4 linked regions of the Saccharomyces cerevisiae S288C genome follow. The protein of the gene in region 3 binds, or shares a complex with, the protein of the main gene of each other region. Each region holds a gene or a part of one and is shown on either strand. Other genes may lie near its edges. The genes, in order: MRPS5, MRP17, RSM10 and MRP2.

What was found.
Region 1: RSM10 (region 3) and MRPS5 share a complex: the UniProt entries of both Saccharomyces cerevisiae proteins name them as parts of the mitochondrial small ribosomal subunit.
Region 2: RSM10 (region 3) and MRP17 share a complex: the UniProt entries of both Saccharomyces cerevisiae proteins name them as parts of the mitochondrial small ribosomal subunit.
Region 4: RSM10 (region 3) and MRP2 share a complex: the UniProt entries of both Saccharomyces cerevisiae proteins name them as parts of the mitochondrial small ribosomal subunit.

What each region holds. Positions count from the first base shown.
Region 1 is NC_001134.8:719,822-722,907, reverse strand, and holds MRPS5 (mitochondrial 37S ribosomal protein uS5m MRPS5), read right to left. Parts: upstream 1,519-3,086; coding exon 595-1,518; downstream 1-594. Other genes in the region: DUT1 (bifunctional dITP/dUTP diphosphatase), read right to left, coding at 1-297; SPO23 (Spo23p), read right to left, coding at 2,304-3,086. UniProt on the Saccharomyces cerevisiae protein: Component of the mitochondrial ribosome (mitoribosome), a dedicated translation machinery responsible for the synthesis of mitochondrial genome-encoded proteins, including at least some of the essential transmembrane subunits of the mitochondrial respiratory chain.
Region 2 is NC_001143.9:436,597-439,449, forward strand, and holds MRP17 (mitochondrial 37S ribosomal protein bS6m MRP17), read right to left. Parts: upstream 897-2,853; coding exon 501-896; downstream 1-500. Other genes in the region: AUR1 (inositol phosphorylceramide synthase), read left to right, coding at 1-189; ESCRT-III subunit protein DID4, read left to right, coding at 1,182-1,241, 1,310-1,948; MET14 (adenylyl-sulfate kinase), read right to left, coding at 2,181-2,789. UniProt on the Saccharomyces cerevisiae protein: Component of the mitochondrial ribosome (mitoribosome), a dedicated translation machinery responsible for the synthesis of mitochondrial genome-encoded proteins, including at least some of the essential transmembrane subunits of the mitochondrial respiratory chain.
Region 3 is NC_001136.10:538,045-541,021, reverse strand, and holds RSM10 (mitochondrial 37S ribosomal protein uS10m RSM10), read right to left. Parts: upstream 1,220-2,977; coding exon 608-1,219; downstream 1-607. Other genes in the region: YDR042C (uncharacterized protein), read left to right, coding at 1-421; Na(+)/Li(+)-exporting P-type ATPase ENA1, read left to right, coding at 2,555-2,977. UniProt on the Saccharomyces cerevisiae protein: Component of the mitochondrial ribosome (mitoribosome), a dedicated translation machinery responsible for the synthesis of mitochondrial genome-encoded proteins, including at least some of the essential transmembrane subunits of the mitochondrial respiratory chain.
Region 4 is NC_001148.4:875,675-878,338, forward strand, and holds MRP2 (mitochondrial 37S ribosomal protein uS14m MRP2), read right to left. Parts: upstream 956-2,664; coding exon 608-955; downstream 1-607. Other genes in the region: Rho family GTPase RHO1, read left to right, coding at 1-323; MET16 (phosphoadenylyl-sulfate reductase (thioredoxin)), read right to left, coding at 1,173-1,958; mediator complex subunit NUT2, read left to right, coding at 2,402-2,664. UniProt on the Saccharomyces cerevisiae protein: Component of the mitochondrial ribosome (mitoribosome), a dedicated translation machinery responsible for the synthesis of mitochondrial genome-encoded proteins, including at least some of the essential transmembrane subunits of the mitochondrial respiratory chain.

The sequences.
Region 1 (3,086 bases), on a different chromosome or scaffold from region 3:
ATGATTGAATAAAACTACTTTAACTTCACCGGTGTAATCTCTGTCGACAACACCAGCACCGGTTTGGATACCGTTTTTCACTGCCAGGCCTGACCTTGGCGCAATACGACCGTAGGTACCAACAGGTACGGTGAACGATATGTCGGTGGAAACCATACCTTGACCCATAGCCGGAATGGTAATATCCTGAGATGCATAAATGTCGTATCCCGCGGCAGTGGCAGAACCTTTGGTAGGTACAGTAGCGCTTGCTGAGCGCAATTGAATCTTTAGTACTTTGTCGCTAGTAGCAGTCATTTGGTTATTTTTTGGCTCGCTGTATCAGTGCAAACATCTCATTCGAGAACTTAGTTGTTTCTACTTATTAAATGGTAGCGCGTAATATTTTTCCTTTTATAATTTTCAATGGTAGTAAATCAGAAATTATGGAAAAAAAATAAAACTTGGACAGAAAAAAATATTGCTATGAAGAAAAATTGAATATGCTTATCAGCTCATTTGATTGAGTATGTTGAGATATTTACAGGTATTATTATTGCTGTATTTACTTATGTAAAACGAGAGATAATGGTGCGTGTGTATGTACATAGTATTTCAGCTTGAATAGTAAACTTTCCTGACATCAACAAGCTTTTTGCCTCTACCCAGGGCAACCTCATCCAATGTCTTTTGAGCTTTCGTGAAAGCCTCGATGGTACCTTTAGCTATATTCATATCGTTTCTGGATTTATATACTTTCCCACTCAGATCTTTGATACCTGCACATTCACAAATCTCAAAGATTACATGGTTTACACGTAATCCAAACCCTGGTTTTGCACTTCTTAAATGTAGTTTCACACCATGATACCTAAAATCTATATCACCATAAATAGTTCTGTTTTCATACCTAGGTATTTCCTTCAGGTTCCTTACCGCATCCCAATGAGCTTTAAAGATCGCTTTGGACATTTCTTCACGAGATTTACCTTCTCCCAAACCTACCATACCGTTTTTGTCACCAACGACAACCAAGGCATAGAAAGACGCAATTTTACCCTTCCCAGTCTGATTTGACACTCTTTTCATCACCAGCGGCTTCATAGTCAACTTTCTAGTGATATAATCCGGATCTACACCGGTTTGCTTGTGTAGCCCTGCAGCTACATCGGCGCTTTTCGATTTCCGACCACCATCGTTTGGTAAGCTGACTCCTGGAGGCAGAATGTTACCTTCGCCTGGTAATGGTTGTTGTACCTGGTCCCATCTAAAGATGCTGAAGTTATTATTCTCCTCTTGAGCGTGGAGATGGGGCATGCCTGGTTTGTAATCCCAAAAAGGATGTATTTTGGTAAAATCATCCAAATATGGTGGTGCGAATTCCACGTTACGAGATACTCTGAATTTAGTATCTTCTGGTATCGTTTGTTGAGCAAGTTTTATGGATTTTAAAAGACTTTCAGGATAGTACCTTGATAATAGCGACTCATCATAATGCTGTAGATAACGAACACTAGTCGATAATTGCCTCTTGAACATCTTTACCTATTGATCTATGAAATCTGTTTCTTGTATGGTTTACCGTCTACTTTGACAACAATAACGATAGGTCTTTTAGTGGTGCTTGTATTATTGTCTTGTCAATTCGTCTTTTTTTTTTTTTCACTTTAAGGAACTTTACTCCGCGAATAAAAGAAAGCATCACCATGTAATGAAATATATGGGATACATAAATGTATGGGATACATACGACTGTTACTTGCTACCTCATTTGGAGATCACTAGCTCAGTTGTAAAACTTTTCCATTTGATTGAATAAACTCTAACCTTTTTCATACTGGTAGTAAAAGTCAAACCTACGAAAGTTCACATAATAAGGCCTTCACGCCAAGAGAGTCTAGTGTAGTGTTCTTCAGCTCCTATTGATATACTTTTAGTGCCCAAACACGGGATGTTTCAAGTAATTTTTCCTTCTCTAATTTGACAAGGGAAAATATGGCTAGTAATTCTTGTAAAAATGTCTTCTCCTCAGAGTGGGCGGTGCTTATGTATTAGAACCGGTCGAAATATCATAATATACACCGGCCAGTAGAGAACGGACATGGCGACTTGATACATAAAATGTCTATCTCGGAAGCTGATCAACTTGTGAAGTAGTATTATAGATATCAGCGTGCAAGATACTTACAAAAAGAGAGACCTGTAAATTTATTGTTACGTAAATACATAGTAGAATAAGAAACTAATAAAAAATAGTATATGTATATCATGCAAATAAAAAAAAAAAGGATAAAATAGAGGCGTTGTTCTGAGGTACCGAACATTCATAAGCTATTCTCACCTGCTACCATAGAATATAGTGGGGGTTCATCTTGTAGATCACTAATATTTTCAAATTTTTCATATTTGGGTAACAAAGAGCTGGTCGAAATATCACTATCGCCAACTAAAATTGGAAAATTCACCGTAATACGATAATTTTTTTTCATTTCAAGCCCTTCCACCAATTCATTCCTGCTATAGGTTATTCTGAACAAAAGCAAATGAGTTACTTTGAGGGCAGCATGATTGGGATAAAATGAACTTGGTTCACAGTAGAATGTTTTAAACCAGCTCGGTAGACCATCCGCATAGGTTGGGATGACAACGTCATCAAAGCAAAATCCGAAAATGGTCTTGTCGGAATCGAAACTTTGGCTTTCTACAGTTCTTAGTAAATACTCGGACTTTTTAATGTATGGCTCTCGTAGTATTTTCTTGGTCTTCAAATCAATACTTGGTATTGCCATTCTCTGTGCAACTGCCAAAGAAGCTTCCTGTAATTCAATGGAAGAATCTGTTTTGGTAATTGATAATATCATTTGGAAAGGCATACCAATTTCAATCAACTTGGAGTTTCCAATGACCGATACTACGATCTCACTTGCAGTATTGTATGACCTTAATTGAAATGTTTCAAACTTAAGCATACTCGTTGAAGGCAGGACTCTTTTAACTTTAATTTCTTCTGTTAAAATGATCTTATCTGTAAAACTTTCATTCTTCAAAAATTTGAGTAAGTTTTTAGGTTTACTTGGTATTCTCATTATTGTTGTTAAGCTTTCTAT
Region 2 (2,853 bases), on a different chromosome or scaffold from region 3:
TCAAAGAGTGATCCATTGGCTGCAGATTCAAACGATATCGAAAGTGTCCCTTTGTCCAACTTGGAACTTGACTTTGATCTTAATATGACTGATGAACCCAGTGTAAGCCCTTCGTTATTTGATGGATCTACTTCTGTTTCTCGTTCGTCCGCCACGTCTATAACGTCACTAGGTGTAAAGAGGGCTTAATGAGTATTTTATCTGCAATTACGGATACGGTTGGTCTTATGTAGATACATATAAATATATATCTTTTTCTTTCTTTTTCTTAGTCAGGATTGTCGTTTAGCATAATATACATGTAGTTTATTTAATCACATACCACTGATTATCTTTAGAATTTTATAAATTTTTGAAATAAATGGGTGGCTTTTAATGGTGTCTATGTTAAGTGAGGCTTTTAGAATGCTCTTCCTGCTTTGTTTATTATATGTGTATGAAAGATATGTATGTATTTACATGTGTTTGTAGCGTCCCCAGTCAAAACCTGTGCGCTATACCTAAATGGATTGATAATCTTCATTCACTAATTCTAAAATAGACTTCTTCCCCAAAGAACGGTGTAACGATGAGGCTCTATCCAGCTGCTTATCTAAATCAACTTTAACGATGGATGATCTTATGACACGGGGATCTTTCTTTAAAGTTCTTAGAATTTCAGACTGTACCGCAGCTGATGAATCAAACAGCATTAAAAAGTGATATGCTCGAAAATGTTTTTCCTGGTCTTTCTTCATTATTTTAGGAAGATACCTTATGCCCATGGGTACAATGTCCCTCACCACACCTCTGTTTTGAATAATCAGTTTCCCGATTGTGGAAGACAATTCTTTTGCTTCCAACTTTGGCGCATTGGAGTTGGTTATGCGAACAAGTCCGATCAGCTCATAAAGCATCTTAGTGAAAAGGGTGGTTTTGCGTTATTCTTTCCTCTGTTGAAGCTTTTCTATTTTGTTTAAGCTGAACTAGTGGGAGTTTCCATTAAAAGGCTAAAGTCTTGTTGAAACTTTTCCGGGTTAGATGATAACTGCGAAAAGATAGATAAAATCAGCATTAAAGGGACTTCGTCTCCTCCTAATCAGAAATCATCCTTTCGAATTATGCGTATTCAGTTGAAGCGTATTTGTGACCAGTGTACTTCAAGGCTGATTGTTTCACCCTTGGACACAGAACGTTAAACAATGAGTTTGTTTGAGTGGGTATTTGGAAAGAATGTCACTCCGCAAGAGAGGTTAAAAAAAGTATGTTGTTCTGTATTTGGATCAGTTATTTTAGTGAACATACTAACGTTAATTATTTGAGTTTTTAGAATCAAAGGGCTTTAGAAAGGACTCAGAGGGAGCTTGAAAGAGAAAAGAGAAAATTGGAACTACAAGATAAAAAACTTGTATCAGAAATTAAAAAATCGGCAAAGAATGGGCAAGTTGCAGCTGCGAAAGTTCAAGCAAAAGATTTAGTAAGAACCCGGAATTACATCCAAAAATTTGACAACATGAAAGCTCAACTTCAGGCGATATCATTGAGAATACAGGCCGTTCGAAGTAGTGACCAAATGACACGTTCTATGAGCGAGGCCACTGGTCTTTTGGCTGGAATGAACAGAACAATGAATCTACCTCAGTTGCAAAGGATATCGATGGAGTTTGAAAAGCAGAGTGATTTGATGGGTCAACGACAGGAATTCATGGACGAAGCTATTGATAACGTCATGGGTGATGAGGTGGATGAAGACGAAGAAGCTGACGAAATTGTAAATAAAGTTCTTGATGAGATTGGAGTGGATTTGAATTCACAGTTGCAAAGCACGCCTCAAAATCTGGTTTCTAATGCGCCGATCGCAGAAACAGCGATGGGGATTCCTGAACCTATTGGCGCCGGATCAGAATTTCACGGTAATCCTGACGATGACTTGCAAGCTCGGTTGAACACTTTGAAGAAGCAGACTTGAGCGCTCTGAGTATATTTAATGAATAATAGGTCTATACTATAATACATCAACTACTGATATCAAAGTAGGCACTTAGAATCAAAAGGCTTCCGAAAATTTGTTCAGTTTTTCACTTTACTCAATCTCGTCACTAAAGTTTTCTTTTTTTTTCGAATGAATCCTCGAATAAATATGTTCTATATTATATATATACATCTTTTATATATCATTAAATGTACAGTAATCGGTCAAATTACAAATGCTTACGGATGATTTTTTCACTGATTAAGTACTCATAAATAATGGTAGCACATTCTTCAACCGTCTTCTGGTCGGTTCTCAAATGTAGCTCTGGAGCTTTTGGCGCTTCATATGGGGCAGAAATACCTGTAAACTCCTTGATTACACCCTCCCTAGCTTTCTTGTATAAACCCTTAGGGTCCCTTTGCTCAGCGACTTCTAATGGAACATCAACAAATATTTCAATGAACTTCAAACCAGCCTCCTTATGTAGTTCACGAGCTCTATCTCTGTCAACTCTGTATGGAGAGATAAATGAGGTGATTGAAATAGCACATGAATCAGCAAATAGCTTAGAAACTTCGCTAATTCTACGAATGTTTTCATTTCTGTCCTTTTCTGAGAAACCCAAATCCTTGTTCAATCCAAAACGAATGTTGTCACCATCCAATCTATATGCAGACAAGTTTTTTTGGAGCAGTAACTGTTCTAGCGCACAGGCGATTGTACTTTTACCTGACGCACTTAGACCTGTTAACCAAATAGTACAACCGTCCTGTTTTCTCAATGCCTTGCGTTCGTCGTAAGTAAGATTTGGATGCCAAGTAATATTAGTAGCCATTGGTGTACAGTGTGCTTGGAGAAATAATTCCAACTTTTCTTGATGTCAAGTTCGAACAAAGAGA
Region 3 (2,977 bases):
TAGTTGGAGTACTGAGCGAAACTTTCTCAATATGAATTCAGATTCCATATCTGCTACCAAGAATGTTTTTATATTATTTTTTACCATTTTCAGATTAGCGGAGTATATTGTATACAAACTCTCTGACCAGAAGTATCGGTTACACACATCCCTGAATGTCCAACATTTCAGGTGGAATTCGAAGAAGAATACAAACAGAAAAAGGACACTTTCCTTTAGCAAAGCTTACTTACCAAGAACAAATATACTACCGATTTTTGTAGCCGATGGACTAAAAAATAGATTCTCAGGCCCGCTACCTGGTAAGTCCTTGGAAAGCTTCCAGAAACTAAATTTATTGAGCGATAACAATATTAAGCGGTATGCAGTACCAGGAAACAAAGCAGTGAACACACTTTTATGGCAAGAGCAATACTCATAACGGGCCGCAATATTAGTACAAAATTGTTCATCATATAGTTAAAAAATATAATTAAACTTACTTATAAATTCAGTATAACCATTTAATCTACTACTTTTTGCCCCTCTTCTTCACCTATTTTATTTACAAGTACGAAATCTTTTCGGTCCCAAGAACCAGCGTAATTATAGGATTGCCATCATCTTTTTACTTCTTTTCCAAATGTTTTTTAAAATCGGGGCTATCCAATAGTTCCAATACTTTTTGTCCGACAGCACTAGTTTGAGCTTTATCATCGTTTCTCAGAGAATACAATTCATCGATATTGCTTAGTGATTTTTCGAGGCCATTGGCGTCCGAACCCAAGTCCAGCGATATTTCGGACCTTTGAAAGAAGTTACATTTCATTCCGACGCCTGCCATAGAGTGCTTCGTAATGTAAGCTATCAACATCTGTAGCACTTCGGGGTTCGTATCCCAGGCCCTAATGAGCCTCTTATGTGTATGTCTTTCAAAATTCTCTTTGGATTTAGCGTGCACGAAAGGTGATTTTATTACAGTCCACCTTTCTCTTCTCGTGGGCAAAGGTTTAGGACCTGTCAATGGGATACCCAAATAGTAACCTGTTCTAAGTATGAAGTCTGAATAAAAATCGAGGTTTTCATTGTCATACGATCTTAACTGAATGTCTGCAACTAAATCACCATATTTGATAGGTAACTTTAAAGGAGCATAGTAGACTGCCTCTACATTTACAGGATATGGGCGCGTCGACTGTGTTCTGATAAATGATCTTAATGCAATGGTATTTCTAAGCATTGGCCAATGTTTTTCCCCCTTTTCTGATTTTGCACGGTTCGCATAATTCTAATTTGTACCAAATAGTTTCATTTCATGCCCTTTCTTGCATTTTTTCCTTTTCAAAAGAAAATAGATGTACAGGTATTACCCGCCTGGTACATAGTTTGCTAACATTCTTGCCCAATCTCTCTGCTGTTAATAAAGGATGTGTGGATACATGACTAATTTCCGGATTAAACAGTGACGATAAGAAACGGTATGGCAAGAGTCAGAATTTGATAAGACTTCAGTAATATTGATTATCGGTCGAACTAAGCTACCCTCTTGGTTAAATTCTAATGACTACCAGTGTGGTCAATATTTTAGGGTTATCGGTGAACGATAACAAAATCCGTAATTGTTTCCTACGCTGGTTATTACTAAGTAGCCACTCGGTGGCTATCTCTAGCCGTTCATCAATCATGTCAAAAGTACAATCACTGAGCTTATTAAGTCATCCGCACGTGGAACTCACACAAGCCCCGAATTTTGTCAGCCATTCCGTGGAAAATCCTTTATCTCGTCACTCTTGTACGGAAGTTGCACCTTTAGCCCCACTCCCAGATCTTCAATCACAGAGGCAATGAGGGTGGCTGTGCAATGTAAACTTTCTTATCGCTTCCTGTTATGATTGATTACCATGCGCGGTAGAAGGATTGAATGAGGGGTGTGGGTGTGATAATTCATGTACGGACCCTTTCCTCCCAGAAGCTTCTGCACGAAGTGGTTACATTGTGAGTACAGGGTCTTAAACATCGCCGTGCGGCGTCATTTTGCGGGGCTCATCATTTATTTCCTACTTCTATGACGTTTGTTAGGGCAGGGATGTAGATTTTGGTCATATACTTTCACCTGACAGAAGAAAAAACAAGGTCTTAGAGCAGTATTCCCGAATTATTGCCTCTTTCCTTGGTGGGTGCGGGTTAATATTAGATGAACGGTGGGTTGTGGTCAAACCCGGGGTAGGTTTTAAAATGTCATGCGTTTTCGTCATTTACATAGATATATACAGGGAAAATATATATATATATATATATATATATATATACCTAAGGGAAACAATTTGAATAGATAAAAGGTCTTTTCCTCTTATTCCGTTCTTTCTTTTTAGAGTACTATTAATTTCTACTATTTCTCCTATCTTTCTTTTCTCATTAGTAATAGTCTAATCATTTATATTCTAATATTAACTTTAATAAAGCAGATATCTTCATCAAGTGAACTGTTCACACTTAATTCACATTTATTTGAGGCAACAATACGTATATTTACTAATTAAAGAAAAAACTTCGTACACAGAATTGAAAATTTTCGATGGGCGAAGGAACTACTAAGGAAAACAATAATGCAGAATTCAATGCTTATCACACGCTGACTGCAGAAGAAGCCGCTGAATTCATAGGCACAAGTCTAACTGAAGGTTTGACCCAAGATGAGTTCGTCCACAGATTGAAAACAGTGGGTGAGAACACATTGGGTGATGACACTAAAATTGATTACAAGGCAATGGTCCTCCATCAGGTATGTAATGCCATGATCATGGTCCTTCTAATATCCATGATAATCTCGTTTGCCATGCATGATTGGATTACTGGTGGCGTTATTTCTTTTGTTATCGCGGTCAATGTGCTCATTGGCCTAGTTCAAGAATATAAGGCTACCAAGACAATGAACTCTTTGAAAAACTTGAGCTCTCCCAATGCTCATGTTATTAGGAACGGGAAAAGTGAGACTATA
Region 4 (2,664 bases), on a different chromosome or scaffold from region 3:
AATGGATTGCCGAAGTATTACATTTCTGTCAAGGTGTGCCAATTATTCTTGTTGGTTGTAAAGTGGATTTGAGAAACGACCCACAAACCATTGAACAATTAAGACAAGAAGGTCAACAACCCGTTACATCACAGGAGGGACAATCTGTAGCAGACCAGATTGGCGCAACCGGATACTACGAATGTTCGGCCAAGACTGGTTATGGTGTCAGAGAAGTGTTTGAGGCCGCCACTAGAGCTTCATTGATGGGTAAATCTAAAACGAATGGTAAAGCTAAGAAGAACACTACTGAAAAGAAGAAGAAGAAGTGTGTCTTGTTATAGGAGTGTCTCGATCTCTCAGTCGTTAACTTAGTGGCAGATACTGCCCTTTTTCAATCCCATTCCTTTTCTCATTGTATGTACGTATGCCTTTTTTTGTTATTTTAGCTCTAACTATAGCTACTTGTTTTTCTCCCAGTATGTGTATAATCTTATTCTTCTCTACATATAAGTGTATTGCTCAGTAAGTATTATCATCTATTAAAGAAGAATAAAAATTATCATGTATTTATTTACAAGTGCGTATCCTATATATATATATATATATACTTTCGCGATAAAATTTTTTACCAAATACCCTTCTTAACACCTGGCAAATTACCCTTCAGAGCGTTTTCTCTAAATTGATACCTACACAACCTAAAATCACTTAGAACAAATCTTGCATGTCCAGAGTCCACGCACCTATTTTTGATCTGCGTAGATCTCATGTAGTTTGGCAATGCATTTAGTTTTAACTGAGCCTCCAACCTCAGTTTTGTTGGAAGGTTCATATTTCTAGCGATGAATTTCAAAGATTTAACAAGGATTTCATTCTCTTTAAATTGTTGTCTTTTGAAGTTATCCCTAAGTATGCGAGCATTGATAAACCCTGGTGGTAGCTTGGTTTTTATAGGAAATCTGAAATTACCCATCGGTTAATGTATATATTTGTCAGTTTACCTTTTCTTTCGTTTTTCCTTTCAATCCTCTTTATCGCAGTTTGGTTCTTAGTTTGAATATTCCTCTGTTTTCGCTCTTTTCTCGTACAGCGCGAATTCTCCGCCAGCTTTAGAAAGTTGTAATCATTGGTGTTATTAAGGAATAAATAATTAGTCACATACATATGGTTATATATCGTACTCTATCTATCTAGGCATCTTGCTTTAAAAATTGCGCGAATCGGCTGGCTTCATGAATTCCACACTCGGTCTTGGCCTTGCCCTTCCATCTTCCTGCTCTCTCATCTTCACCTTCCTTGACGGGTTGTGTGGAATGGTAATCACCAATGGATCTATATCCAAGGTCCAAAAGTTCGTTGTATGGTACATTGTTTGCATCTATATACTGTTTAACCTGCTCGAACGTCCAATTGATCAATGGATTTATTTTTAAGATTCCATTAAGTTCGTCTATTTCAATAATCGACAGTTGGGAGCGGGCAGAACCTTGTGATTTTCTTCTACCAGTAAACACAGCACTTATATGTAGCTCTTTGTAGGCACGATGTGCAGGTTCCACTTTGGCCAGATAATCGTACTTGTCATCATCTTTCTCCCATAAGAAATCCCCGTATTTCGAGGCAAAATCTGCCTCCGATTCACATCCATCCGGCTTATATACGTGAATGGTTTGATTTTTAGGCTGGTAGTATTTTTTCTCAATCTCGTTTTTTAGTGTTAAAGTTTGTGGGAAATGGTGCAAAGTGTCTATAAATAATAGTTCTGGCATGTAGTATTTTTCAGATAGCTTTGACAACATATCGATAGTAACCAAGCCAGTCAAACCAAATGCAGTGGTTTGGAAAAGGTGAGGAAACGTTACGATAGACCATGCAATAATCTCCTGTGGCGTTTCCAGCTTGATTAGTTGTTCATTCCAATGATCCAACTGTTCTTGTGTGACAATTATATCATTATTCAAATGATAGGTCTTCATTTTATGAGTTGCTATGGGTTGATACCTTTGCTGGCCTTAGTTTTGATCTTAAAGCATTGAAAAGGTTACAAACAGTACAGTATACTTTTTTTATATCAATATAATACTATCTCTATGAGCTTTTACTTTGTCGAGATTTGCTGAGTCATGTTGTGGCTTTTCTTTTACTAGCCACGTGAAATGATGATAAAAATAAAAAGAATAACGACGGAATAAAGAACAGTATGATAAACCGTAAAGATATTTAGAATCAATAGGTGATGTCCACCCGGTAACAAGATGCCATTCATGTTAAACTAGGACAAATTTCCTTCTTGTCCCCCCACCATTCTCTTTTATCCAATTCTTTTGTCAGCGCGCATTAAAGAACAAGAACTTCGTACTTTTAACTACTAACTCCTGTTTGAGAAAGAGGCAAATATATAGAAAAATAAACCGATAAGATGAATGGAAACAGCACTAACAATGAACAATTGCAGCAAGAACTGGCCACTACTCAAGACCAAGTGGCTTCGATTATTGAGTCCTTCGTTGAATTAGGTGTCTCGATATATGATTTTCCTGGTACTCCAGAAGCCACCAAGGGAATGATCACCAACTTGCAAAGAAATGTGGATCGCTTGTACAAGCTGAACGTGAGAAGCAACGATCCTCAATCCAGCTTGTCTAAGGTGGACATTCCCTTGGAAGTTGTTCAATACATTGA